Linked DNA regions of Oryctolagus cuniculus. The main gene of each other region encodes a partner of the protein of the gene in region 4 in a complex. Links are inferred from orthologs where the notes say so. Each region holds a gene or a part of one and is shown on either strand. Other genes may lie near its edges. The genes, in order: SNRPD2, SNRNP40, SF3B5, SF3B2, DDX46, SF3B4 and DHX16.

The links.
Region 1: SF3B2 (region 4) and SNRPD2 share a complex: the UniProt entries of both Homo sapiens proteins name them as parts of the minor spliceosome. The link is inferred for Oryctolagus cuniculus from reciprocal best matches to the Homo sapiens genes SF3B2 and SNRPD2.
Region 2: SF3B2 (region 4) and SNRNP40 share a complex: the UniProt entries of both Homo sapiens proteins name them as parts of the minor spliceosome. The link is inferred for Oryctolagus cuniculus from reciprocal best matches to the Homo sapiens genes SF3B2 and SNRNP40.
Region 3: SF3B2 (region 4) and SF3B5 share a complex: the UniProt entries of both Homo sapiens proteins name them as parts of the SF3B subcomplex of the 17S U2 SnRNP complex. The link is inferred for Oryctolagus cuniculus from reciprocal best matches to the Homo sapiens genes SF3B2 and SF3B5.
Region 5: SF3B2 (region 4) and DDX46 share a complex: the UniProt entries of both Homo sapiens proteins name them as parts of the 17S U2 SnRNP complex. The link is inferred for Oryctolagus cuniculus from reciprocal best matches to the Homo sapiens genes SF3B2 and DDX46.
Region 6: SF3B2 (region 4) and SF3B4 share a complex: the UniProt entries of both Homo sapiens proteins name them as parts of the SF3B subcomplex of the 17S U2 SnRNP complex. The link is inferred for Oryctolagus cuniculus from reciprocal best matches to the Homo sapiens genes SF3B2 and SF3B4.
Region 7: SF3B2 (region 4) and DHX16 share a complex: the UniProt entries of both Homo sapiens proteins name them as parts of the minor spliceosome. The link is inferred for Oryctolagus cuniculus from reciprocal best matches to the Homo sapiens genes SF3B2 and DHX16.

Annotation. Positions count from the first base shown.
Region 1 is NC_091449.1:11,275,486-11,279,627, forward strand, and holds the start of SNRPD2 (small nuclear ribonucleoprotein Sm D2), read left to right. Parts: upstream 1-1,342; 5' UTR 1,343-1,490; coding exon 1,491-1,492; exon of another isoform or gene 1,493-1,728; intron 1,729-2,699; coding exon 2,700-2,879; intron 2,880-4,142. Other genes in the region: QPCTL (glutaminyl-peptide cyclotransferase-like protein), read right to left, coding at 38-181, 564-758. UniProt on the Homo sapiens protein: Plays a role in pre-mRNA splicing as a core component of the spliceosomal U1, U2, U4 and U5 small nuclear ribonucleoproteins (snRNPs), the building blocks of the spliceosome.
Region 2 is NC_091438.1:141,089,577-141,093,076, reverse strand, and holds part of SNRNP40 (U5 small nuclear ribonucleoprotein 40 kDa protein), read right to left. Parts: intron 654-3,500; coding exon 531-653; intron 1-530. UniProt on the Homo sapiens protein: Required for pre-mRNA splicing as component of the activated spliceosome. Component of the U5 small nuclear ribonucleoprotein (snRNP) complex and the U4/U6-U5 tri-snRNP complex, building blocks of the spliceosome.
Region 3 is NC_091436.1:24,439,768-24,442,162, reverse strand, and holds SF3B5 (splicing factor 3B subunit 5), read right to left. Parts: upstream 1,233-2,395; 5' UTR 1,089-1,232; coding exon 828-1,088; 3' UTR 501-827; downstream 1-500. UniProt on the Homo sapiens protein: Component of the 17S U2 SnRNP complex of the spliceosome, a large ribonucleoprotein complex that removes introns from transcribed pre-mRNAs.
Region 4 is NC_091432.1:5,766,885-5,771,016, reverse strand, and holds the start of SF3B2 (splicing factor 3B subunit 2), read left to right. Parts: upstream 1-1,332; 5' UTR 1,333-1,398; coding exon 1,399-1,531; intron 1,532-1,648; coding exon 1,649-1,695; intron 1,696-1,808; coding exon 1,809-1,886; intron 1,887-3,312; coding exon 3,313-3,552; intron 3,553-3,719; coding exon 3,720-3,770; intron 3,771-4,132. UniProt on the Homo sapiens protein: Component of the 17S U2 SnRNP complex of the spliceosome, a large ribonucleoprotein complex that removes introns from transcribed pre-mRNAs.
Region 5 is NC_091437.1:23,025,437-23,028,936, reverse strand, and holds part of DDX46 (probable ATP-dependent RNA helicase DDX46), read right to left. Parts: intron 2,252-3,500; coding exon 2,033-2,251; intron 1,711-2,032; coding exon 1,566-1,710; intron 1-1,565. UniProt on the Homo sapiens protein: Component of the 17S U2 SnRNP complex of the spliceosome, a large ribonucleoprotein complex that removes introns from transcribed pre-mRNAs.
Region 6 is NC_091438.1:48,025,975-48,030,006, reverse strand, and holds the start of SF3B4 (splicing factor 3B subunit 4), read right to left. Parts: upstream 2,801-4,032; 5' UTR 2,712-2,800; coding exon 2,678-2,711; intron 2,242-2,677; coding exon 2,113-2,241; intron 1,537-2,112; coding exon 994-1,536; intron 677-993; coding exon 470-676; intron 1-469. UniProt on the Homo sapiens protein: Component of the 17S U2 SnRNP complex of the spliceosome, a large ribonucleoprotein complex that removes introns from transcribed pre-mRNAs.
Region 7 is NC_091436.1:139,758,642-139,762,598, reverse strand, and holds the start of DHX16 (pre-mRNA-splicing factor ATP-dependent RNA helicase DHX16), read right to left. Parts: upstream 2,801-3,957; 5' UTR 2,612-2,800; coding exon 2,405-2,611; intron 367-2,404; coding exon 119-366; intron 35-118; coding exon 1-34. UniProt on the Homo sapiens protein: Required for pre-mRNA splicing as a component of the spliceosome. Contributes to pre-mRNA splicing after spliceosome formation and prior to the first transesterification reaction.

The DNA.
Region 1 (4,142 bases), on a different chromosome or scaffold from region 4:
GCGGGTCAGCGCTGGGAGAGGAGACGGGGCCTCGTACCTTTCTGACTTGGAGACTGCCCGGAGTGCCCGGGGCTCGCACAACAAGCAGCGGTCGCAGGAAAGTGCCCCAGAGGCGCTGCAGGTCCAGCTGCCCCACCACCCTCCGCAGCCGGGCCTCCGGGAGACTTCCGGTCAGCGGCGTCTAAAGAAGAGAAGAATGAGCGCACTGCTCCCTCCCCCCAAAAGCCCGGGTGCCTCCGCGGCATGGGAGACTTCCAGGATCAAAGTCTCTCCAAGCCCACCCGGTTTAGCCTACCCCTCGATCGTGACATGGAAACCGAAGCCCAGCGAGGGGAAGGGAGGCTTCCAAGAGTTGCCTTTCGGGCGTGGAACCCAAAACCCTCATCCTGACGACTCCGGAGCCTTTCTTTCCAGGGGGCGCGTTGGGAGGGGGCTTGCGCTCCGGGGAGGCAGCCGGTGGCACCTGCGGCCAGGGCCCCAGGTAGCGCCACGTCAAACCGAAACTCGGAAAGAGGAAGCGGGGAGAGAGGGCCCTCCAGTGCCCGCGCCGCGCCCAGCCTCACCCGCGGCAGCTCCTCGGTCCTGCGGTGCCAGCTGCCCCACAGCGTGTAGAGGGCCGAGCCCACGGCCAGCGCCAGCAGCAGCACGGGCAGCAGCTGCGCCCGCGGGAGCAGGCGGCGCTTGAGCGGCGAGCTCGGCTCCATCAGGCCGCGCTCCCCGAGCCGGGGCCGGGGCCGCCCGCGGCCCCCGGGACGCATGGCAGCTTTGCCCTGAAACCGGCCAGGGACCGCGGATGGAGTTCAGGCCCAGCCAAGTCCCACCCCATGGAATCACAAAGCCAATGAGCGACAAGAGCGCCGGGCACCACCCCGGCCCGGCGAGCCGGGTGCAGCTCCCGAGGACAAGCCTCCCCGGAGGCCCGGGGTGTCGCGATTGGCTCCCAGAGGGGTTGCACAACCCCCAGAGGGGACGCGAAGGCGTGCGGCCCGCCCCGGCGGAGCGGGTAAAGCCAATGGGCAGCGCCCGGCCGCGGAAAGGGATTGGTTCCGCGGGACGGGAAGATCCAGCGAGGCGTCAGGCCCCGAAGCCGGGACCGGATTGGCTTCGTGGAGGCCGCGCCCCCGGAGACGGGGCTGGCGGGCATTTAGAAACCTCTGGCCGTTTCCCTCCTGCAGCCTGTCCCGCCTCTACCACGAAGCGGCGCGACTCGGACTCTCTGTCTTGGTCTCTCCATCCCGATGAACACCTGCCCGCTGTGGTCCTTAAAGGCCTCGAACTGCCGCTCGCGGCTTCGGCCCCCTCGCTGCGCAGCCGGCGGGGGTCGCTATGGCAACAAGCCACGCCCCAGCCCGCCGGGTGGGTTTGCGCAGGCGCCCACGGAAGTGGCCCGCCGGAAGCGGAAGTCCCGCCCCTCTCGCGCTCCATCCGCAGAGGCAGAAGCAACGCGGAGGAGGTTGGAGTGAGAGTGACCCGAACGCGGGGCCGGCACCATGTGAGGCCGGGCTGGGCTTAAGCGGCGGGCGTGAGGTTGTGGGTGCGAATGCGGCCGATTAGCGGCGGAAGGGGGCGGCAGCGCCGGGGGCGGAGCAGAGCTCTCGGGCGAATTTTCTGTAATGAGCGTGGGACCGGCCCCCGGGGCCTCTGGCGGACCCTGAGTCCGCGAGGGCCGCCAGCTCTGTGAGAGAACGGGCAGCGGCTCCTCCGCGTCATCAGCTCGCTGGAGTGAAGGTTAAGAAGCGGCTTCTCGAGTTACAGAAGCCGGGGAGCGGGCGCGGGCTTTTAGGCATAGCGATTGGGGGCGAGGGGCTTGGAACGTGAGCTGGGGCCGGGGGCCGTGGCTGCTCGGCCTGATTCGCAACGACGCCGCGGCTGGGGCTGCAGGCTCAGCCGGGGGCCCTGGGAGGGTTCCGAAGAGGCTGCCGTGAGTTAGGCTTGCGCACGGCCCCCAGGCTGCCCCTGGGTGCAGGTAGCCCTGGCACGGAGGTCGGATTCTGCAGCCGGCCGGGGGGAGGGGTACGGCCGGCAGACGCATTGATTCGGCCCTGCCGAGCGGGACTACGGCAGGCTGGTTTTTAAGCCGGCGCCCGAGTGCTGTTCTGAACACCGAGGCTGGCCAGCCCCGAGTGGCCGGGCAGGCCTTTCTCCTGTGACTGTTGCCCGGGCTCCACGGGGTCGCAGCACAGTCAGGTCCCGTTACGCTGTAACCTGGAGATGACTTAGCGAGCGGGAGGTGTGCGCAGGGTGTGTGTGTGTGCGTCCCCGCCATCCCACCTAAGGGATCCGAGCCGCTGAGGCTTCCGGGACCCGGGCAACGCGGATCCTGGGACCAGCCCCCTGTGGATGCCGAGGGACAAGCGTCCGATTGTGGGGCAGTGGGCGTCAGACGCCAGGGGGAGGAAGGTGGGGGCGCCGTAGAGCAAGTCCTGACAGTGGCTGCTGTCCGAGTTGCCGTGGGAGACGAAAGAGGAGTGGACGTCCGCTTCTGCCCGGCCAATGAGAAGGGCGGACTTACCCCCCAGGGAGTGGTGTGCCCTGGGTGCAGCAGGCTGGGGAGGGGGCCTAGCGGGAGCTGAGCCGGGGCGGGCGGGGTTGGGGATGGCTGGTGGCTTCCAGGTGCTGATGCCTAGAGACCAGGCCGGCAGGGCTGGGGGGCGGCCCCGGCTCCTCCCCTCACCCGCGGGTCCCTCCTCCCCCGTCAGGAGCCTCCTCAACAAGCCCAAGAGCGAGATGACCCCCGAGGAGCTGCAGAAGCGGGAGGAGGAGGAGTTCAACACGGGCCCGCTCTCCGTGCTCACGCAGTCGGTCAAGAACAACACGCAGGTGCTCATCAACTGCCGCAACAACAAGAAGCTGCTGGGCCGCGTGAAGGCCTTCGACAGGTGCGCGGCCGGGGGCGGGGCCTGGCCCGGGAGGGAGGGGCCTGCGGGCGGGGCTCCTCCGAGGCCGCGCCTCCCGCCCTGCCCTGCGGTGGGCGCCAGCCGGCCCCTGCTGTGCTGTCCCTCTGAGCGGCCAGGCGACCCTCAGCGCGTGCCGTTATCTTGTCCGCACAGTGGCAGGCAGTCGTCGCGGTGGATACAGAGATGCGGTGACTTAACACGCATGAAGTGCCTGGCCACAGGACACCTTTTGGTTCATTCATTGAAAGAGAAGCGGAGAGACGGAGAGAGCTCCCACCTGCTGGGCACTCCCCGGATGTCCACAGTGGGGCCAGAGCCGGGGGTAGCACGCAGGCAGGCTTTTAATATTTTATTTATTTTGAGAGGTAGAGTTATGGATAGAGACACAGAGAGGTCTTCCATCCGCTGGTTCACTGAGCTGAGCTGACCAGGAGCCAGGAGCTTCTCCTGGTCTACCACGTGGATGCAGGGGCCCAAGCACTTGGGCCATCTTTTGCTTTCCCAGGCCACAGCAGAGAGCTGGATCGAAGAGGAGCAGCCGGGCCTCGAACCGGCACCCTTGTGGGATGCTGGCGCTGCAGGCCAGGGCGTCAGCCCACCAACCACAGCGCCGCCCCCGTGTGTTCTGTGGTGTCTCACTCACGCACTCACCGTGCCCCTGGCCGTCCTTTGTGGTGCCCACAGCCTTGCAGAGGTGCCCCTGGCAGGGCTCGGTCCTGCAGGAGAACCTTCCAGGCGCTCTCCTGCCGCCCGGTTCTGCTGGTCCTGGCCTGAGAACACTGCGGCCAGCGGGCTGTTGCCTGCCCCCTCAGCCCCTCCCACCCGCGACTGAATGCGCAGTGTGTGCAGGTGGGGCGGGTTCATTCAAACAGGCACCTGATGACGGGCGATCTCCTTCCTGCGCCCTCCCTCCAGGGACCGCCCCCCTGGTGGTCACAGATCCGCAGGAGTGTGGTGTGACTGAAACATCACATGTGTTGGAAGATGGGGGCTTCTTAGCCTTTTTTTTTTTTTTTTTTTTTTTTTTGACAGGCAGAGTGGACAGTGAGAGAGAGAGACAGAGAGAAAGGTCTTCCTTTTGCCGTTGGTTCACCCTCCAATGGCCGCCGCGGTCGGCGCGCTGCTGATCCGATGCCAGGAGCCAGGTGCTTTTCCTGATCTCCCATGGGGTGCAGGGCCCAAGCACCTGGGCCATCCTCCACTGCACTCCCTGGCCACAGCAGAGAGCTGGCCTGGAAGAGGGGC
Region 2 (3,500 bases), on a different chromosome or scaffold from region 4:
TGTTATTATTATCACCTTCACTCTTCATGTGAGAAAACATAAGCTTAAAGTGAACAAGTTAAAGAACCCATTTGAAATCACAAAACTAGAAAACAGCAGAAGTGGGATTAGAACCCAAGTCAAATTAGTTGAAGGTTTAAGCTACACTGTACTGCCACACGGCCCACTGCCTCCTTCTCCAAAAGTATTACTTTCTCTCATTCTTACTAGAAGCTTAGAAAACTTAATTTAAATAGTGTCAAAAAGAAAAACACAGCAAGAGTGGAGGACACCCGTCCTTCCACTAGTCCTCCACCCAGGGGATGCATGCGGCACATGAACCGCCTGGTCCCTGACAGCATTTATATGGGCTGCAATGAAACCTTTGATTGAGGAAGACAATGAGGACCGAAGAGAAAGAAAGTTCTAAGTTATTATTGTAATTTTAGTTGGTATTAAGCACAAAGCTACCACAATCCCAAAAGTCTTCAAAGATTTGCTTCTGTAAGTGGATGCAGGTCAAAGTGAAATACAACACGAACATCACATACCTTGATATCATTGTCTATTCCACCAGAAATAATCTGATCACTTGTGTCATTGAAGGTCACAGCTAACACTTGGTATGTGTTCTGAAATGTCTGGATGGCTGCTTTCTTCCGGATATCCCAAAGCTAAAGCAGAGGAATAGGACAGTCTATCAGTAACATCTCCTTGAGAAGTAACTGCACAACATACTTGGTAGACATGAACACATCTAGAACAAGAACCTCATTCAGAAACTTTCTTGGATGTCCTAGCAACACATGGTAAAAAATGATCACAATTTTGCCAAATTATTTGAAGGCTGGTGGAATAAACTATTTTGGTTATATTTTCAGACTCCTTTGGTAATAAAGTTAGAATAAAATACTGTTAATCAACATGCCCTTGGAAGAAGTCCTCTATAAGTTTACTTCGTATATTCTTTAGGAGAAAGATATTAGACCACTGCCTAAAAAAAAAAAAAAAAAAAAAAAAAAAAAACCCACATATTTACTATTTGAAAGGCAGAGTTACAGTGAGAAAGGAGAGCAAGGGAGAGTGAGAGATCTTCCATTTACTTGTTTACTCCCCAAAATGGCTGAAGCTAGTACAGGCAGAAGCTAGGAGCCAGGAACTCTATCTGGGTGTCTCACATAGGTGGCAGGGGCAAAGCATTTGGCTCATCTTGTGCTGCTTTCCCAGGCACATTAGCTGGGACTGGATTGGAAGCTGAGCAGCCAAGACTTGAACTGGTTCTCATATGGGATGCTGGTGTCACAGGTGGTGGCTTAACCCACTGCATCACAGCTCTGACCCTACCTTGTTTTGTTTTTCAAAGATTTTATTTATTTATTTATTTTTAATTTGACAGGTAGAGTTATAGACAGTGAGAGAGAGACAGAGAAGAAGGTCTTCCTTCTGTTGGCTCATTCCCCAAATGGCCGCTATGGCCGGCGCTGTGCTGATCTGAAGCCAGGAGCCAGGTGCTTCTTCCCGGTCTCCCATGCGGGTACAGGGACCCAAGCACATGGGCCATCCTCCACTGCCTTCCCGGGCCACAGCAGAGAGCTGGACTGTAAGAGGAGCAACCAGGACAGAAGTTGGCGCCCCAACCGGGACTAGAACCTGGGGTGCCAGGGCCGCAGGCGGAGGATTAGCCTTGTGAGCCCCGGCGCTGGCCAGACCGCTCTCTCTTTGTATCCCTACCTTTCTATGTAACTGTCTTTCAAAATAGAAAAAAAAAAAAAAAAAAAAAAAAACTAAACGTTTTCATGTTTAGTTCTAGTCATAATTTCATAACTACATTCATAGTAGATGGTTTACTGTTAGTTATAATTAAAGTCAGTTAGTATCCTCTCCTATCCAAACAGTAATTTTTTAAAAGATCTATTTAATTATTTGAAAGACAGAGTTACAAAAATGGTGAGAAACAGAGAGATCTTCTATCTGCTGGTTCACTTCTCAAATGACCATAGCAGCTGGGACTGGTCTGGGTCAAAGCTAGGAGTTCAGAACTCCATCCAGGTCTCGCACATTGGTCACAGGAGCCCAAATACTTGGGCCATCTTCAGCGGCTTTCCCAGGCGCATTAGCAGGGAGGTGGATCTAAAATAGAGCACCTGGGACTCAAAACAGCACTCCAAAATGAGATATCACTGTCACAACTCTGGCCCCCTAAACAGTAATTTTATTAAATCATTCAGTAAATGTTTGTTGGCTCACCTCTCTGTCTCATCATGAAGGAAAAAACACTAAGATACAGTTCTAGCTCAGAGAGGAAATTGAGAACTGTTAACGAGAGGCAGAACAAAATATTTTTATATAGATTTTTAAAAGTTATGTTATTGGGGGCCGATATTGTGACGCAGTGGATTAAGTCCCCACCTGCAATGCCAGCATCCCATATGAGCACTGGTTCGAGTCCCAGCCTCTCTTTTTCTTCCAATCCAGCTCTCTGCTATGGTCTGGGAAAGCAGTGGAAGAGGACCCAAGTGCTTGGGCTCCTGCATCCGTGTGGCAGACCCGGAAGAAGCTCCTGACTCCTGGCTTCGGATCTGCCCAGTTCTGGCCACTGCGCCATTTGGGGAGTGAACCAGTGGTTGGAAGACTTTCTGTCTTTTCCTCACTCTGTAACTTTGCCTCTCAAATAAATAAATAAATGGCACACTTGCACACTGCTGGTAATAATGCCCCCTGGAGGTTTATGTTGTGTAAAACGGTCTGCCGGGGATCTGGGTTTGTCTTGAAACCCTGCAGCTAAAATTTTTATTGCATGTCTTGATTTATCTTACTGCAGAGTGGAGACTCAGACCTAAATTACTTAGACAGGAATCCTAGCTTTGTCACTTAGTAACCTGGAAAAGTGTACTCCATGTGACTTAGTTTTCTCCTCTATGAAATGGCTCTAAGCATACATGCAGAGCCAATCTACAAAGACTGGGAGAGTTTTTTTTACTTGTTCTAGGTGATAAAAGAATCACTAGTTGATAACTAAAATAATGGAACAAGACTTCAGTAGTTATGCAGGACAAACAACACAGTCTTCACAAAACTAGTTTAAAAAGTCACTAAACTGGGGCCAACACTGTGGCATAGAAGGTTAAGCCTTTGCCTGAGGAGCTGGTGTCCCATATGGGTCCCTGCACCCATGTGGGCAACCCGGAAGAAGCTATTGGCTCCTGACTTCAGCTGGGCCCAGTTCTAGCCCTTTTGGCCATTCGGGGAGTTAACCAGTGGATGGAAGACCTCTGTCTCTTCTTTTCTCTATGAGGAACTCTGCCTCTCAAAAAATAAATAAATCTTAAAAAAAAAAAAAAAAGTCGCAAAACAAACCAACAATGACAACTACAATGGCTCTGGTGTTGGGGCATAGTGGTTTGTTTTGTTTTGTTTTTTTGACAGGCAGAGTGGACAGTGAGAGAGAGAGACAGAGAGAAAGGTCTTCCTTTGCCGTTGGTTCACCCTCCAATGGCCGCCGCGGCCGGCGCACCGTGCTG
Region 3 (2,395 bases), on a different chromosome or scaffold from region 4:
CCACTCTGCCTGTCAAAAATAAAAAAATTAAAAAAAATAATAAAATTTCATTTATTTTAAAGTTAGAAATACAGAGTCGGAGAAAGAGAATCTTCCATCTGCTGGTTCACTCCCCAGATGGCAGCAATGGCCAGGGCTGGGTTAGACTGAAACCTGGAGCTTCTTTCGGGTCTCCCACATGGGTGCCTGTGGCCCAAGCACTTGGGCTACCCTTCTCTGCTTTCCCAGGAGCATTAGCAAGAAGTTGGATCAGAAGTGCAGGGGCCAGGCCTCCAACCAGCTGCCCATATAGGATGCTGGCACTGCAGGCGGAGGCTTAACCTTCCAGGGGCTTTCTGAAGCTCCCCAAAGGGCATGCTGGGCGGATTTCAGTGCCTGGCAAGGCAGGCTGGTTCTGTGCCCTCCACCCACCCTCTCCTACTTGCACACGCACAGAACCTTTGGTTCCGAGTCCTCCCCAGCCTTCTCCCCTGGAACACAAACAGATCACACCAAGAGACTTAACAGATTCTAAACTTTATGAAAAAGGCAACGCGACAATCAACTAAGTCAAACACGAGCCTCCAAATCCCCTCACTCCAGTGCCGTCTTCCCCAACGCCCGCCAGCTCTCGGACCTCTTCACCCGCAGTTCTCAGGGAGCCCCGGCGGTCCTGGTGCTGCGTCCCGAGGGATCCACGTGAAGACAGCACCGGCGGGACACCTCGGCGAGCACTTCTGCACCCGGAAGGCCGGAGAAGCAAGGAGTCGCGGAAGAACCAGTCCACTGGAGACAGGAACGCGCGGGCAACGCCGGCGATCGGGAGGCTCGCTGGAGGAGGCGCCGTCTCAGTTTTCCTCGGGCTTGTCAGCGGGGGGGCCGCAAGGCTGCAGCATCTTCTCCATCAAGTTGAAGCGCACTCGCGCTTTGCTCTCATTCTCCGCGATGGCGAAGTAGTTGAGAAGGTCGAAGTGGCCCATGTAGGAGCAGTAGGAGTCGCGGTGCTGGTTCACCAGCCACTCCCACTTGGTGGTGTCGGCGTGGCCCGTGCCGATGTACTTGGACTGCAGGTGCTCCAGCTGGCTGTGGATGGTGTAGCGGTCTGTCATCTTGCCGCTTTCCCTTTCGCTCCGAAGTCAGAAGTCGCACGAGGGTTAGGAACCGGTCTCGGGTTTCCCGCCGGAGAAAGGCCAGCACACGGAACCGGCAGCCTCGCTCAGTCGCAGAGAAATTGCGTCACAGCGACGGAGTGGCGGAGGACGCGGAAGCGGAAGCACATTTTGAAGCCGTATTGGAGTTGCCCTAGCGACACTGAAACTGTCCCGCCCCTTTAACAGAGTCCCGCCCCCCGCCCTCGGAGAGCGTTGCATGATGGTCCACTTGGTGGTCCGTGGGTGGCCCTGTACTGACGTAGCGTCTTGCATGCTGGGATTTGTGGTCTCTTCCGAGACCGCGGTTTAAGAGCTGAATGGAGGGCAGAACCCCAGAGGCGGGGAGCATGCGTTGTCGGCCCGGTGCTAAGAGAAAGTGGGCCAGTGGGCCAGTGGCACAGGCAACCAAGAAAATAAACCCTTGGTGTAATTAGGCGCTGACGAGGCGGCACGGTAGCCCCTTCACAATCGGGTGGCTTACTGAGGTCGGCAGACGCGACCTCTGGTCCCACGCTCTAGCGGGGCCGCCGTTCCCGTTCGGTGACCCTGCACAGCCCCGGGGCCGAGTCGCTTGGGCGCCCCCGGCGCACACTCCTTCGGTCTCGCCTCTCGGGCTGGTGGCCCCCGGCGACTCCACGCCGACCCCCACGACCCCGGCCCGCACTCGGCCAGGTGCCGCGCGCGCCCGCGTCCCCTTCGGAGCCGTTAGCGCCCGCGGGAAAGGCTTTGTTCCCGCGGCGACGCGTCTGCCTTCGGTTGGCTCCTCCTTTGCATCTGATTTTCGCTTTATGTTTTACCTTTTGGTTTAAAATTCACGGCGGTAGAAATACTTGAGGAAAAAACAAACCCATACTTATCTTAGGATATCCTTTTTGGATATTCGTACAGCCTGATAGATTGTGTTCTCCAAAAAACAGTTGAGGGATAGAGAGACAACTACAGCCAAAGAGAGGAACGCTGCCCGGAGAGCAAGAACTTTAAAAAGCAGTTTTGTTTTGCTCTTTTCAGCTTGACAATTCATTCCTAAAGTGTGGAAAATTTATAAGGTATATCTTTGGCTTCATCCTCTAGGTGTATCAAACCTTGACATTTTGCCGTATTTGTCCTGATTTTGTTTTGATTTTTAAGAGATAAATTCTGCAAATAAACGTTCTCCGCGTTCCCTTCCCTCATCTCTTGGACACTGTCCTGGATTTAATGTCAATCATTCTGTTTTCCAATTGCTGAAAGTTTGTGTATCCATAAACAATAGCTGATAGGCATGG
Region 4 (4,132 bases):
TGGGGTAAAACCAGGCCGCCTTGGTGTGTCCCCCGGCCCCCGCTCTGTCACCAGCAGCCCTTCCTCTCCTGCCCAGAGATCCCCCTTCCCGACAGTGGAGGCACGTGGCTCCGTGCCTGCAGCCTCAGCCGACCTGCCCCGGTGGGCTCTCCGGTTACAGGGAGCAGAAAGAACCTTCCCTCAGGCCGGGAGGGGTTCTGCCTGAGTGGGCTGATGTGCCAGAGAGAAGGGCACCGCTTTTTTTTTTTTTTTTCCCTGTGCTGTTGTGACTTCCCTGGGACTGGCAGCAGGAGCCGTGGGCTGGTGACCTAGTGGGTGGGAGGGAGGGGTGTGAGCCAGGCTCCCCCGGCCCGGTGCTTTGCTCTGCCCCCAACCCTCACCTTCTGGGCTGTGCTCCCGGCTCCCAGGTATTTCTCACTGAGGACAGTTAAATGCAGCTGGGTGGAGAAAGGATCTGAGGGTGTGTGTGTGTGCGCGCGTGTGGTGAGACCCTTTCGTGAGTCTTCCTGTCACTCAGCACAAGGACTCACACAGGCCCTGGAGACGCAGAGCTGGTGGCACAGGTGGAAAGTGAAATGCAGCCGATGGGGCAGCGCAGTCAAACGTGGAAGCTGGGCAGGCAGGGTCCCCTGCTCGCCTCTCCGTGAGCTCGGCAGGGGATGCCAGCGGAGTGGGGCTGACCAAGACCAAAAAAGATAACAAGTGATGTCGCTGAAGATCCGCTCTTCCGGTCACCTTTATTGGGCGCCCCTTGCACGCCAGGGGCTGCAGCCGTTGGATCAAGCCCCGACTCGTCTTTTTCAGGCGGATGTAAGTGCAAAGACCAAGACTTGAACAAGATGGAGCAGATTTGAACGCATTACGAGAACTCCAGGAAAGCCGGAGAGGGCGGGCCTGGAAGATGTGAAAGGGGCTTGGGTGGCAGCGAGCGCTCCACTCCGTCCGTGCGGGCCCGGGCAGACAATCGGCCCGACCTTCCGCTCCCGCCGCGGAGCGAGTCCCTCGGGACCCCCTGGGAACGCAGGCACTCAGGCCTCTCACGCTTGGCCCGGGAGTCGAGCCAGAGGCTGGAAGCCTGCGCTCGGGCGGGCGAGACGCAGAAAGCACTCCCTGGGGCCGGGACTCGCCGCCCGCGCGGCCCCGCTCCGGGCGCCGCAGCCCAGGTCTGCGCTCCGCGTCGGAGCCGCGGCCTCAGTGTACTACGACTCCCAGAAGGCTCGGCGGCCTCAGTACTACGACTCCCAGAAGGCTCGGCGGCCGGCCGGCGAGTCACGTGACAAGCCGAGCTCCCTCCGCCGCCGAGAGGACGTGGCGTGCGGCGCTGCCGGAAGTTCCGGGAAGTAGGCCCCGAGGGCGGCCGGAGCTTCCGGGCTGGTCGCGCGCCTTCCTGTGGCCAAGATGGCGGCCGAGCATCCCGAGCCTCCCAAAGGCGAATTGCAGTTGCCGCCGCCGCCGCCTCCCGGGCACTATGGCGCCTGGGCTGCCCAGGAGCTCCAGGCCAAGTTGGCAGAGATAGGCGCTCCGATCCAGGGTGAGGGCTTGGAGGGGCCGGGAGGGCACCGAGGGTCCGTGGAGACGCGGAGCCCGGTTACCCGGGAGACTGGGGGCGGGGGCGGGCCCGCGCCGCTGACCCGAGCCTCGCCCGCAGGGAGTCGCGAGGAGCTGGTGGAGCGGCTGCAGAGCTACACGCGCCAGGTGAGTGCCGGCGGCCGAGGGGGCCCGCCCGGCGTCGTGGTGGCCGGCCCCGGCGCGGAGGAGTCTCTGGCTCCCTGGTGGGCCGCCCTGGAGCCTCGCTCTCTCTCTCGCAGACGGGCATCGTGCTGAACCGGCCGGTCTTGAGAGGGGAAGATGGGGACAAAGCCGCGCCCCCTCCCATGTCGGCACAGGTAAGGGGGCGCCCCCTTCTCTCGCCTGCGTCGGGCTGCCGTGCGGAGGTGGGAGCTCCGGGTCCGGCCCGCTTCCCGGCGTCCGCGCCTTCGAGTTCTGGCCCCGGGGGTTCCGCTTGAATGCGGCCCGCCCCGCGTGCTGCCGTGTCGACCTCTTGGCCCGCCCCGCGTGCTGCCGTGTCGCTGTGCGAGACTGAACGCGCGGGTGGACTCTGCAGAGCTCGCAGCGCCTGGCACGCCGGTTGTCTCCCGTCCGTCACTTATGCAGGATTTGATGCTTTTCCTCCAGAGAGTGCCTCTGACCCATGGCTCTGCACTCCTTCAGCGGCCTTTGTCTCGCTCTTTCTTTTTTTTGACAGGCAGAGTGGACAGTGAGAGAGAGACAGAGAGAAAGGTCTTCCTTTGCCGTTGGTTCACCCTCCAATGGCCGCCGCGGCCGGCACACCGCGCTGATCCGATGGCAGGAGCCAGGTGCTTCTCCTGGTCTCCCATGGGGTGCAGGGCCCAAGCACCTGGGCCATCCTCCACTGCCCTCCCTGGCCACAGCAGAGAGCTGGCCTGGAAGAGGGGCAACCGGGACAGAATCCGGCGCCCCGACCAGGACTAGAACCCGGGGTGCCGTTGCTGCAGGTGGAGGATTAGCCTAGTGAGCCGTGGCTCTTTTTAAAAGTGTCTCTTTTTAAAAGGTTTATTTATCTACTTGGAAGGCAGAGTTAGAGAGACGGAGGTCTTCCATCCGCTGGTTCACTCCACAAATAACTGCAGTGACTGGGGCTGGGCCAGGCTGAAGCCAGGAGCCAGGAGCTTCCTCTGGGTCTCCCACGTGGGTGCAGGGGCCCAAGCACTTGGGCCATCCTCCACTGCTTTCCCAGGAGCACTAGAGGGAGCTGGATCGGAAGTGGAGCAGCCAGTGCTCAAACCAGCTCCTGTAGGGGATGCCGGCACTGCAGACGCTGGCTTAACCCGCTGTGTCCAGCGCTGGTCCCTCAAGTGTCCTGGAGTCGTGTGGAGCAGCTGTGTTCGTGGTATTTTTCCGTGGAGACAGTCGGTAGCTTTCTTTGGATGGTATCCCAGAGAACTTCCCGTTCTCTTCCAGTGCACAGAGCAGTCTCTTACAGAGCAAGAAATCACGTCTCTGTCTTTTTCCTTGATTTTGAATATTTTTTTACTTATTTATTTGAGAGGAAGGTTTATAGACAGAGACCGAGAGAAAGGTCTTCCATCCGCTGGTTCACTCCCCACGAGCCTGCACCCATACGGGCTGCTGGCATCACAGGCGGAGGCTTAGCCCACTGTGTCCCAGCACCGACCCCAGGATCTCGTCTGACTTGGAATCCCAGTGCCTGGCTCAGAGCAGGCTCCCAGCGGATGCTGGCAGAGGGCGTGGGCGAATGCCTCCTGGCTCACGATCGCATTTTCTCCACAGCTCTCTGGGATTCCCATGCCACCGCCACCCATGGGGCTCCCTCCTCTGCAGCCCCCTCCACCCCCCCCTCCACCCCCACCAGGCCTTGGCCTTGGCTTTCCCATGGCCCACCCACCAAATTTGGGGCCCCCGCCTCCTCTCCGCGTGGGTGAGCCGGTGGCGCTGTCGGAAGAAGAGCGGCTGAAGCTGGCGCAGCAGCAGGCGGCACTGCTGATGCAGCAAGAGGAGCGCGCCAAGCAGGTAGGGCGGGGGAGCCTGGGCCTGGCCTCGTGGGTCCCTGCGGAGAGAGTGGGCTCGGGGAGTTGGCGCCGGGACCAGAGGCAGAACCAGGCCGCAGGCTGGCGGCAGAGCTGGGGCAGGCGGGCCGTGGGGAGTTGTGCTGGTGTGAGCTTGTTTTCTCTCTTAAGCAGGGAGATCATTCACTGAAGGAGCACGAGCTCTTGGAGCAGCAGAAGCGGGTAATGCCCCCCTTCCTGACCTTTGACCTCACGGTCCAGGCCTTGGCTGTCACTTAACCGTGCTTAGTGTGCAGGACGAGAGGCACCGTTCGCGTTTTCTTTGGAGGCTGCCTCATCCCCAGCTAAATTCCAGCATCTCTTGAAGAATTCCGTTGTTCCTCAGCCCACAGGTTGGCAAACCACAACCTGTGGCCTGTGTCTGTCTGAGCTGTGAGCTGAAAATTTTTTTCCTATTTGTAAAGGGTTGTTGTAAGAAAAGCCCAAATCAAGAATGTCTAGCAAAGTCCTCACAACAGCCCGTGGAGGCTGATGCCCACTGGTCCACCACTAGTCCACACGACGTCCCCTTAGGTGCCTTGGAA
Region 5 (3,500 bases), on a different chromosome or scaffold from region 4:
AAAAATACAACTTTAGGCCGGCGCTGCGGCTCAACAGGCTAGTCCTCCGCCTGCGGCGAAAGCACCACAGGTTCTAGTCCTGGTCGGGGCACCGGATTCTGTCCCGGTTGCTCCTCTTCCAGGCCAGCTCTCTGCTGTGTAGCCCAGGAGTGCAGTGGAGGATGGCCCAAGTCCTTGGGCCCTGCACCCGCATGGGAGACCAGGAGAAACACCAAGCTCCTGGCTTTGGACCAGCGCGGTGCGCTGGCTGCAGCGCACCAGCCGCAGCAGCCATTGGGGGGTGAACCAACGGAAAAGGAAGACCTTTCTCTCTCTCTCTCTCTCTCTCTCTCACTGTCCACTCTGCCTGTCAAAAAAAACAAACAAACAAACAAAAAAAACTTTATTTGGGCTCTGGAAACCAATTAAAACTTTCTAATATCCAAACACAAAAGAAAGAAGAAAAGGAAATAGCAACCATGTCTCGGGACCAGAGCATTTAGTGTGTAACTAACTCTGACCCCACCTGCCCTTCAACCTCTGCCAGCTCCCCACTGCCTACCCACAGCCTCGAAGACAGCAGTCCACACGCCCAGGACCATCTAGCACGCTACTCTCCAAGCCAGCTGTCTGGTGGCTCTCTGCTCAAAAGGCTTGCCTGCACTTCACCTAACCTGGACTCTCCCAGGAGAGAGCCAACACTAGAGGGGGACAAAGGCACTCTCAGCTGCAAGGGCACTAGACACTACCCTGGGGCAGGTAACAGGGCAAACACAAAAAGCTCTGACTAAGGGCTTTGTACAGCTGCCATACATTTGTAGGAACCTAGAAGGCCGTGTGTAGGTCCAGGACTGTGTCTGGGCTCGAAAAAGACCTGGGAAGGCTCTTGGCTGTCACCTGAGATGGCTGACCCCTAGACTGTGTAAGCAGACAGTGAACGCTAACGCTGAGTTACAAGCTGTCTGGCTAAAAGCGCAAAATTTGCCCCAATACAGAACACCTGCAAAGACTAAGAGATTTTTTTTTATCTCTCCCCAGACATTTAAGGAGCTCTGTAAAATCACTTGCTGACTTCAGTAGCCTCACACAAAAACGCAGAGACCATGCAGAGACATGGAAGATGCTCCTGGCTCCTAGCTTCAGATCAGCCCAGCTCTGGTTGTTGTGGCCATTTGGGGAGTGAATCAGCTGATAGAAGATCTCTTTATCTCTCCCTACTCTCTCTCTAACTCTGCCTTTCAAGTAAATAAATAAATCTAAAAAAAATCATCATATGGCCTAATATTGCTGATTCACTTTCTAAACTAAATTATGGCCAGAACACTCCCCACAGAAGCATGAATGAGTCAGTCCTTTCAGAGACTTCAAATTTGACTGAGCTGTCAAAACGGAGAGAGTCTCACAACAAATCAGTCACCTTTGTACAGATACCAAACTTCTACCGAACTCTCCCCCAGTGATTTAGGAAACTATCCTTTCTACTATCGTTTCTTAGAACTGCTCCTTATCTCCCCCCTCTCTGCAAGTGACCTCACGTTCTCCTGCGTCTAGGACACCGACATCAACCTTAATCCTACAGGACATACTTTCAATCGCCAAGTAGATTTTGCGCTCTCCTTCCTTGGGCTCTTTGCCAGGAGGGAAATACGTTCCTCTGATTGTGATTGCGGCTTCCGAGTATTCGCTGATTCTCTGCAGAGCCTCCTTGGAGGTAACCTTCCACCTGGCAGTCTGAAACAAAGGGTGGGGAGGAAAAACACATTGTAACAGGATTTTTAAAACCTGATGTGCTGACAAACAGTAGGGTGGCTAATATTACATTATCCACAATGTCAAGATTATCATTAATATATGCCTGCATTATGACTCCATTTAGCTTCTAACCTACCTAGGACACATTTGCAAAAATAAAAAATAAAATTTCTATTGTTTCCCTCATCTATGTAGAAAGTAAGTAGCCATTAAAATTTTCACAGGTCTAAAAGAAGGGATTTTTGCTGCTCAAGAATCAAGAGTTTCTACCTCATGATGAAGTTCAAAACTTGTTACTTGCCTGTGGGAAGTCATTGATCTCTAATTCTTCCTCGTATCTCTTAAAAGACTCATTCTGTCCACCATCCTGTCTCTCCTCTTCTTGCTTCTCTAAAGGCACGTAATTGAGCTTGGCATTGATCTTCTCAGCAAGCTGCTCTGCGATGGTTTTCGCAGACACAGTAGGTGCGAGAATGGTGCCGCCTCTGAGGATTGCATTGGTGGCCTGCTGCATCACATCCTGCAGGGGAGAAGATCCACAGTCAAATCTCAAAGGGGCACAGAGACAGGGCCAGGAAGCCCACCCCAAGTTCTTCTCTGCAAAGTCACTAACTCTGTTTAAAAGGCCAGCGTTGCGCAGCAGAGTAAACTGCTGCCTGCAACACCAGCATCCCATACGGGCACGGGTTCAAGTTCCATCTGCTCCACTTCCAACCTAGTTCCCTGTTAATGTGCCTGAGAAAGCAGCAGAGGGTGGTTCAAGTGCAGGGTCCCTGCCACTCAAATGGAGACCGGGACGGAGTTCCAGACCCATGGCTTTGCCTGATCCAGCCCCTGCCTTTGTGGCCATTCAGGGAGTGAACCAGCACATGGAAGGTCAATCTCTGTCTCTGCAAATAAACAATATAAATCCTAAAAATACAAACAAAAATAAAGCATCTTTCTAATGCAGATTTCCCACCATATGTGCAATGGACCAGTATGAGAATATATTTAAGACTAACAGTTTAATACATCTTCCTTTTTCTTGATGAGAAAACTAAGAATGTTCTATCTTAAATATTCTAATAGATTTTAGATATATCCCTAATGATTAAGGAACACTTGTATCAGATATAGTACAGTATTTCCAGGATAACTGACATACTTTGTGCTTCTTAGGAGTTTCCTTTATACCATTACCATTACCGAGCACCTCCTCCAGATGGGGAACCTGGCGTTCAATAACAGAAATGACTTACTCACAGTCTTCAAAATACTGTTCAGATTCATAAACCATTCCTCGGGTATGCTACAGAAATTAACTGTTAGTGAAAAATAAACAAGAAAGCTTCCAGGAAAATGCTACGGGAAATATTTAAAAACATTTTCTCCACTGTTTGAATCCATGTTAGTTTGAAACACATAGTATGTGCTTCTACATGCAGAGGATTGTTTGGTGTGCCCAATAACTCACCCAATAAAAGCAGGTTAAGAAAGAAAAAAAATAATTAATCTTGGGGATGGGGAAAAACTGCTATAATCCAAAAGTTGTACTTATGAAATTTATATTTATTAAATAAAAGCTTTCTAAAAAAATAATCACTCTTACGATAACTTTGGTAAGATGAGCCAGAATAATGCTCCATAAAACTAAGCCCAAATGCACACTAGAGAAATCATCCAAAGACAATTATAAAAAAATTCTGGGTTAAGAATGCTAAATTTTCAAAAACTCAGAATCTAGGATATCTTATTTACTGACATCTAACATAATTAAAGAACTTACA
Region 6 (4,032 bases), on a different chromosome or scaffold from region 4:
AGAGAAAGGTCTGAAGGGGAGAGGTACAAAAGTGGATCTGTCCACTGAGCAACAGGATTATGGATTTAGATTGTTAATAATCATGAACTAGAGATACAGACTAGGAGACATCAGTGTATACTTAATCTAGACCCAGAGAAAAATCAGTTTATCAAATTGACTGAAACTGAGGTGTCAGGTGGAGAATCCAAAAAACAGATGAAAAAAACAGACAAGAATTTCAAACAGGAGTACACAGCTAGTTTCAAATACAGCAGAGGGCAAACCATCTAAGAAGTCGAAGTATCCCCTAGACCACTGCTCTGGGGTTGAGTCAGAGAGAAGGGAAACAACAGGGAACAAACAAACAGCAAGTATAGGCTACTCTGCAGAAAGACTTACACAACAGGACAGGTGGTAAGTAGTAAACTAAAGAGAGCATTTTGTTCGTTCACGCACATCCCTCCCTTTCCCAGCCAAGAACACCTACCTGGATGGGGCATGCCACCTGGTGGGAAGGGGTGAGGATGTGAGTGTCCATGACCAGGATGTCCAGCCCCCGGGGTGCCTGCTGATGGAGGGCCATGTCCTCCAGCCCCAGGAGGCATTGGTGGGGGGGGCATGGCTGGAGGTATTCCAGGTGGGAGGGCTCCAGGAGGCGGCACTGGGGGTGGGAAAGAGCCAGGAGGAGGCATGCCTATATAGAAATCAGAAGAAGGATTAATGGCGGTGGGCAAAGAATGCCTTTAAAGAACCTGTCCCAGTTTGACCTGTCTATGCAGGGTGAGTTCTTGCCCCCTCCTCCCAGTGCTCTAAGGTCACAAGCCATGTTGCACTACTCAAATAATCCTACCTCCCTGGAGAAGCCCGACAGAGTTCTTCACACCCCTCCCACCCACCACCTCCTAACTCCCTTCTCATCACCCACTGACTCAGGAGATCTTCCCTTTCCAGGTTCTTTGTTCTCCTCACTGCAGCCCCAAGACAAACGTATTTGCGAACCAAAAGCTTTACCTGGTGGAGGAAGCCCAGACCCCAGTGATGATACCACAGGGTTGGGAGCAGAGGGTGGAGGGGGTGCATCTGCAAACAGCTGATGTGGGCGATCAGCCTGGGAGAGTGGGTTCTGGGCTGCCAGAAGTCGTTCAGCTGCGGAGCCATGGCGCTCACCCTTGGAGTCCTTCTTGAAGGCATAAGACACGGTGATGGGGCGGTTACAGAGGTACTGCCCATTCATGGCCTCAATTGCTGCATCCGAGGCATCAAATGAAGCAAAATTAATAAAGGCATAACCTTTGGAGTTGCCTGTGTCAGGGTCCCGCATGATCTTGGGGGTTTGTAAGATGACCCCAAAGGCGCTAAAAGTATCGTAAAGCAGCTTCTCGTCAATCTCCGGGTCCAGGTTCCCGATGAAAATGTTGGCCCCGACATCCAGGTTTTTGTTGTGAGCTGATGCCTTGTTCACTCGTATTGGCTTCCCATAGAGTTTGATCATGTTCATGATCTTAATGGCATAGTCAGCATCTTCTTCACTCAAGAATTCCACAAAGCCATAGCCTAAGCAGGCAGAGAGGAGATTAGCAACTAGAGCGAAGATACCCGAAACTGGGTAAAACTCACCCACCCTCCAATCACAAAGAACAAGAAAATGATTTTAGAAACAAACTGTGAACTGAGGATTAAGAGAAAGCAATCTGGGGCCGGTGCTGAGGCACAGTGGGTTGGGCATCTGCCTGCAGCACCAGCATCCCATATGGGCGCCAGCTCAAGTCCCAGCTACCCTACTTCTGATCCAGCTCCCTGCTGATGGCCTGGGAAAGCAGGAGAAGATGGCCCAAGTCTCTGGGTCTCTGCACCAGGGTGGGAGACCTGAAGAAGCTCCTGGCTTCAGACTGGCCCAGCTCCGGCCAGTGCGGCCATTTGGGGAGTGAATCAGTGGATGGAAGGCCTCTCTCTGTCTCTCCCTCTCTCTGTCTGTAACTCTGCCTCCCAAGTAAATAGATAAATCTTTAAAAAAGAGAAAAGAAGAGGAAGCAATCTTCTGGTCGCTCATTCTGAAACAAGTATAAATACCGCTGGGACCCTCAGGAGCAGCTGTCAGATACATAAAGTGGCCTCTTGGCGCGGACTCACCTTGGTGCTGGCCAGTGACTCTGTCCTTCGGCATGTGAGTGTTGACCACCGGTCCTGCCTGCAGGAAGAGCTCCCACAGCAGAGGTTCGCTAACCTTCTCGTCCAGGCCCCCCACGTACACAGTAGCATCTGGAGGGAGGATGCAGGAATTTAGGATGGGGACGAATATGACAGGAAAGGAGCTGACCGGGACATAAAGATGGAACCCAGTTAGAGGAACTGCAGGCGGGGATGTGGGACAGAAGCGAAAAGGGGGAGGTGGAAAGCATCCAAATAAGCCCTAAATCGTCCTCTTCGCAGGACCTAGAGCCCCTTCTGAAGTTCACTTTAGTGTCTGCTGCAAATTCCGTCCCACTCAGAAAAGGCAGCAGGGGGACTGCACGAAACATCACACGTCCAGGCCTCAGCCTGCACCCGGCCAACCCGCCCGCACCAGCCACGGAAGCGAGTCTCGCGCCCTCCGGGGGACGGGGGTCCAGTTTCCCGCCTTGGAGACGCTACTGGCCTTAGCTGGGGCTTCCCACCCTCCCGGGCCCATTCCGGACTCGTCTCCCCGCCCAGTCACCCTGGTTCCGCTCGGAGATCGGCCCGGCAGCCATGGCGAAAAGAATCCCGCCGCCTCCAAGCAGCGGCTCCGCCCTCTGGCCGCGGTCACTACTTCCACTTCCGGGGCGAAGACTTACGTGACGCTGGGCGGGGCCCGGACGGGGGCGGGGCCGGAAGCGGCTGCGGCCATCTTAGGATCCCGCGGGACTTGACGGTGCTGTGGCGTCCCGGTTCAGAGGCGTTTGGATTTGCGCCGAGGTTCCGGGGCGAGCGGTCGTAGCGAGGAGGGCGGGGCAGGAAAGCGCAGGCCCTCTGAAAGCAGTGCCAGACGTCTCCCACCGGTGCGGGCGTTTGGCACAGCGGTTAAGCCACAGCATCCTCAGTCAAGAATTACAGGGTCCGAGCCCCGGTTTCCCCCGACTCGAGCTTCCTGTAAATGCACACCTTGGGAGGCAGCAGAAACCCCAAGTTTGGTCCCTGCCACCCATGTCGGAGACCTGGATTGTTCCCCGCTCCCGGTCTGCGTCTGGCATGGCCCCGACTGTTAGAGGCATTTGGGGGAGTGAACCAGCGGATGGAAGTTGTCTGTTCCTCTCTTTCAAGCTAAAAATAGTAACTCTTCGTGTATTTTGTAGCCAGCTGATCCTTTTGTCACCCAAAGGAAAAGGTTCTCAGGGACCCCTCAACCTAAGGACTCTGCTCCACAAGCGTCTTAGTTTTGGCCTCATGCCTCTGGCTGGCTCGAGGTAATGTCTGAGCCGGAGTGTGAGCAGAATCTGAGGCTCCCCGGATGGAGTGTGACCAAAGCTGCAACTCCAAGAGCACTTTCTGGCCCCAGCAACGTCATAATATGCTCTTGGCTGTCTGCCTCTAAATGGGAGATGAGAATTCTGAGCCTCACGTGGTCCAAATCCATTCCTTTCTTAGAAATCATACGATGGGGACCTTTTCTCAAGTCTTTGCTATCTAGGATCCTTCATTCAAATCCAAGAATCAGTGCCAGCAATGTGTATAAATATTGTGCTTTAATGAACTTAAATAGAAATGCCACTACAAAAATGTACAGTTGGAAGAGAGGGTGTGTTTCATATCCACTTTGTTTCCAAAAGAAACTATACAGGAAGAAACAGAAATTGGAATTAAAATAGGCAGCAAGAAGGGGCAAGAATGAGGTCTTTAGGCCATACTGTTGGAACTGGTGAACAGCGTCTCTGGTGTCACAACTTAAATAGCTGGCTATCTATAAAGCAATTACATTGTGGATTGTTTTGTTTCTTAATTCTTCAACTCCCAGGAAACAACAGCTTCAGGAACCAAATAAAAGGACAAGAATTAAAGATTAGCACCACCGTCCACAACAAACTCAATTCTAAG
Region 7 (3,957 bases), on a different chromosome or scaffold from region 4:
TGACTCGGGCTTGGCCGGCTGCTGCCCGCTGCCCCTGCAGCCCCAGACCCGCTCAGGGTTAAACCACGGGTCCGCCCCTCACCCGCCAGCCCACCCTCCCTCGCCCTGCTTGACCTACCCTGCCTTCTTGTCTTTCTCGGGAGCCTCTTCCTCCTCATCTTCCTCCTCCTCCTCCTGGCGCTTCCTCCGCAGGTGTTTCCGTTTTTTGCGCCTCTTCTGGACGCTGCTCCCAGCCCTGCCCACGGCCTCCTCGCTGCTCTCTTCACTGTCTTCCAGCAGCTGATAAGACCGGTTCTTCTCCAGCAGGGCTCGGGCCTCTCGCTCCGCCGCCCGAGTTGGCTTTTCTACCACCGCCTTCCGCGGTACCTGTCAGGGATAAGCAGCGTGAACAACTCCTGACCGCTGCTCACCCCCCTGGCTGTCCCTGACTTAAGGACTTGATCTTAGATCAGCCAGCATTCCCTCTCCTCCCCATGACTTCATCCTGCTCTCATCTCAACAGAGCCCCTCAGTTTCTGAACTTCCTTTCCGTCATTCACTTTTTTAAAGACTGACTGATTGATTTTAAAGAGCTACAGGCCGGCGCCGCGGCTCACTAGGCTAATCCTCTGCCTAGCAGCGCCGGCACACCGGGTTCTAGTCCCGGTCGGGGCGCCGGATTCTGTCCCAGTTGCCCCTCTTCCAGGCCAGCTCTCTGCTGTGGCCAGGGAGTGCAGTGGAGGATGGCCCAGGTGCTTGGGCCCTGCACCCCATGGGAGACCAGGAAAAGCACCTGGCTCCTGGCTCCTGCCATCGGATCAGCGCAGTGCGCCGGCCGCGGCGGCCATTGGAGGGTGAACCAACGGCAAAAGGAAGACCTTTCTCTCTGTCTCTCTCTCTCACTGTCCACTCTGCCTGTCAAAAAAAAAAAAAAAAAAAAAGAAAAGAAAAAGAAAGACAGAGCTACAGAGAGGCAGAGAGAAAGGTCTTCCACCTGCTGGTTCACACCCCAGATGGCCACAACCCTATCTAAGCCAGGAGCTAGGACATTTCTCCGGGACGCCCAAGTGGGTGCAGGGGCACAAGACTTGGCCATCCTCTACTGCTTTCCTAGGTGCATTAGCAGAGAGCTGAATCAGAAGTGGAGCAGTTGGGACCCGAACCAGTACCATATGGAATGCCGGCGCTGTAGGCGGCAGCTTCACCCCCTATACCACAGCCTCCTTGTTTAACACACGTTTAATGAGGTCTATCCCACCTGTCGGGTACTTGCTAGGTACTAGGGATCCAGAATGAACAAAAATCTCTGCCCTCCCAGAGCTTACAACCCCACACCCAGTTCTCAATCACTTGGCCACTTTCTTATAGTTCTGCTTTTCCCAAGGATTTAAGTCATTCCTACACAAGGACTGACAGGCTACAAGGGTTAACTCTGCAATGTGGGGCCGGCGCTGTGGCGCAGCAGGTTAAAGCCCTGGCCTGAAGCGCCTGCATCCCATATGGGTGCCGGTTCTAGTCCCGGCTGCTCCTCTTCTGATCCCGCTCTCTGCTATGGCCTGGGAAAGCAGTAGAAGATGGCCCAAGTCCTTGGGCCCCTGCACCCACGTGAGAGACCTGGAAGAAGCTCCTGTCTTCGGATCGGTGTGGCTTCAGCCATTGCGGCCACCTGGGGGTGAATCAGTGGATGGAAGACCTCTCTGTCTCTACCTCTCTCTGTAACTCTGTCTTTCAAATAAATAAAATAAATCTTAAAAAAAGAAAAAAAAAAAAAAAAAACTCCAAAACTTCGCAATGTGACACCGGCTGTCACACATCACCACATCACCTGTAGATGGCAGGATACACCGGCCACAGGTCCGCAGGCGGAGCCGCACCAGGCTCTCTACCGTTCTGGGACACTCCCACTCTGTGCACACATGGGGCCCTGCTCTGTCCGACAGACAACGGCTGGGCAGGAGGACTACCCGGACAGACGCCAGCGATCCTCCAGGAGTTCACCGCTCACACCTTCGCTCCCTCCCCCTTCTCCACTTGACAAATCCCCGGGGATCCTTGGGCCTGAGTTTGCTGAACACTGTCCCCGCCGCCTCTTCTGCTCTCCCGCAGTGTTTCCCAACCACCTCTTCTAGAGCCTGGCCACTTACAGCCCGGCCCGCGGACCACGGGCATTTGAACAAGGACCACAGCTGACTCCTACGCAGGTTGAAGCTGGAGGAACATTGCTTTACAGCACTCAACCCACCCCATGTAAGACCTGCCGGATGCTCTCCACCGAGCCGGACGCCCGGCACCAGGCACAGTACCCAGCCTACAGTCGGCAAAGGATGACTGTGCCTTTAGCTTATTTATCTCCCCGATGGACAACCGGGCCAGCCTCCCCCGGACGCGTAACTCGGGGCCCTCCCCTGCCCCGCCCCTCGGACACCTTGTTCCAGAGCCTCAGAGCGAAGTCCCGCGCCGGCCCGCCCAGGTCCAGCGTGTCGGTGTCTCGTAGGCGCTGCACGAACTCCTCAGCCGAGGCGCAGCGCTGCGCGGTTCCAATGAGGAACTGGGCGACGTGCCGCTCGCTCAGTCCCAGCACCGAGTGCAGCTCCTCCTGAACCCAGCGCTCCAGCCCCGCCGGCGTCGCCATGGCCACCCACCTGCCCGGTCCTCAGCGCTGAGGCGTCCGGAGCAGCCGCGCCGGCGGCCGGGCCTGTGGCAGGCCCGGGGCACCGGGCCGGAGCCTTAGCCCCGCGACGGAGCTGCTTTAGAACCTCAGGGTTCGGTTTCCAACAGTCCAAACCCGCCTTCCGCCGAGCCCGGAAGAGGATGCTCGTTTCCGGCCTAAGCACTACGGTGGCTACGCGAGTTCAAATCTCGCAGAATCAAATCTCGCTCTGGGTAGCACATTTTCCTTCCCTGCCCGATTTCTCTATCGCCCCCTGATGGTCAGTGGAGGCTTCGCTAATTCATTCGTTCAAAGGAGATTAATTCAATGAGCGCCTAAAAAAAGGCGTTTTAAGCACGGTGTAAAATGTTGGGGATACTGCAGACGGTAAATCAGACAAAACATCGAGTTTACATTCAGAGTTCAAGGGAGGTAAGCCACATAATAAATAAGTAAAAGTACATATTTTCTACCGGGTCTAAAATAGTTCAAGGTAAGGGGACGCGGGCTGCCGGCTTTATTTCAAATGAGATCATGTTCATGCTGTGAAAGATTAGCAGGTGCTGAGCAGGATTGACCTTTGCTAGAAATGGTATCTGCAACAAAAGTGAATACAGGTTAGCTATAAGGGGAGTTCCAAGCAGGAAGAAAGTTGGAACTGGGGAAACTGTTGCAAGAAAAAATTTGGGCCAGCCGGCGCTGTGGCACATCAGGTTAAAGCACCAGTATCCCATATGGGTGCCTGTTTGAGTCCCAGCTGTTCCATTTCTGATACAGCTCCCAATGCAGGAAAGCAGCAGAGAATAGCCCAAGTCCTTGCGCCCCTGCACCCACAAAGGAGACCTGAAAAAGCTCTGGGCTTCAGATTGGCTTAGCTCCGGCCCTTGCAGCCATTTGGGCAGTGAACCAGCAGATGGAATACGTCTCTCTCTCTCTCTCTCTCTCTCTCTCTCTCTGTCTATCCCTCTCTTTGTAACTGTCTTTCAAATAAAGAAAAAATTTTCCTTAAAAAAAAAAAGACAAAATTATCTGAAATGGGCAAACTGTGTTCAGCGTTTGTGCTGTCAGTTTGATTAATTCACTGGTGGCTGCTTATTGAAAGATAAGCTGGGGCCAGCGCTGTGGCGCAGCGGGTTAACACCCTGGCCTAAAGCACCAGCATCCCATATGGGTGCCGGTTCTAGTCCCGGCTGCTCCACTTCCCATCCAGCTCTCTACTGTGGCCTGGGAAAGCAGTAGAAGATGGCCCAGGTCCTTGGGCCCCTGCACCTGCGTGGGAGACTTGGAAGAAGCTCCTGGCTTCTGGCTCCAGATCAGCACAGCTCGGC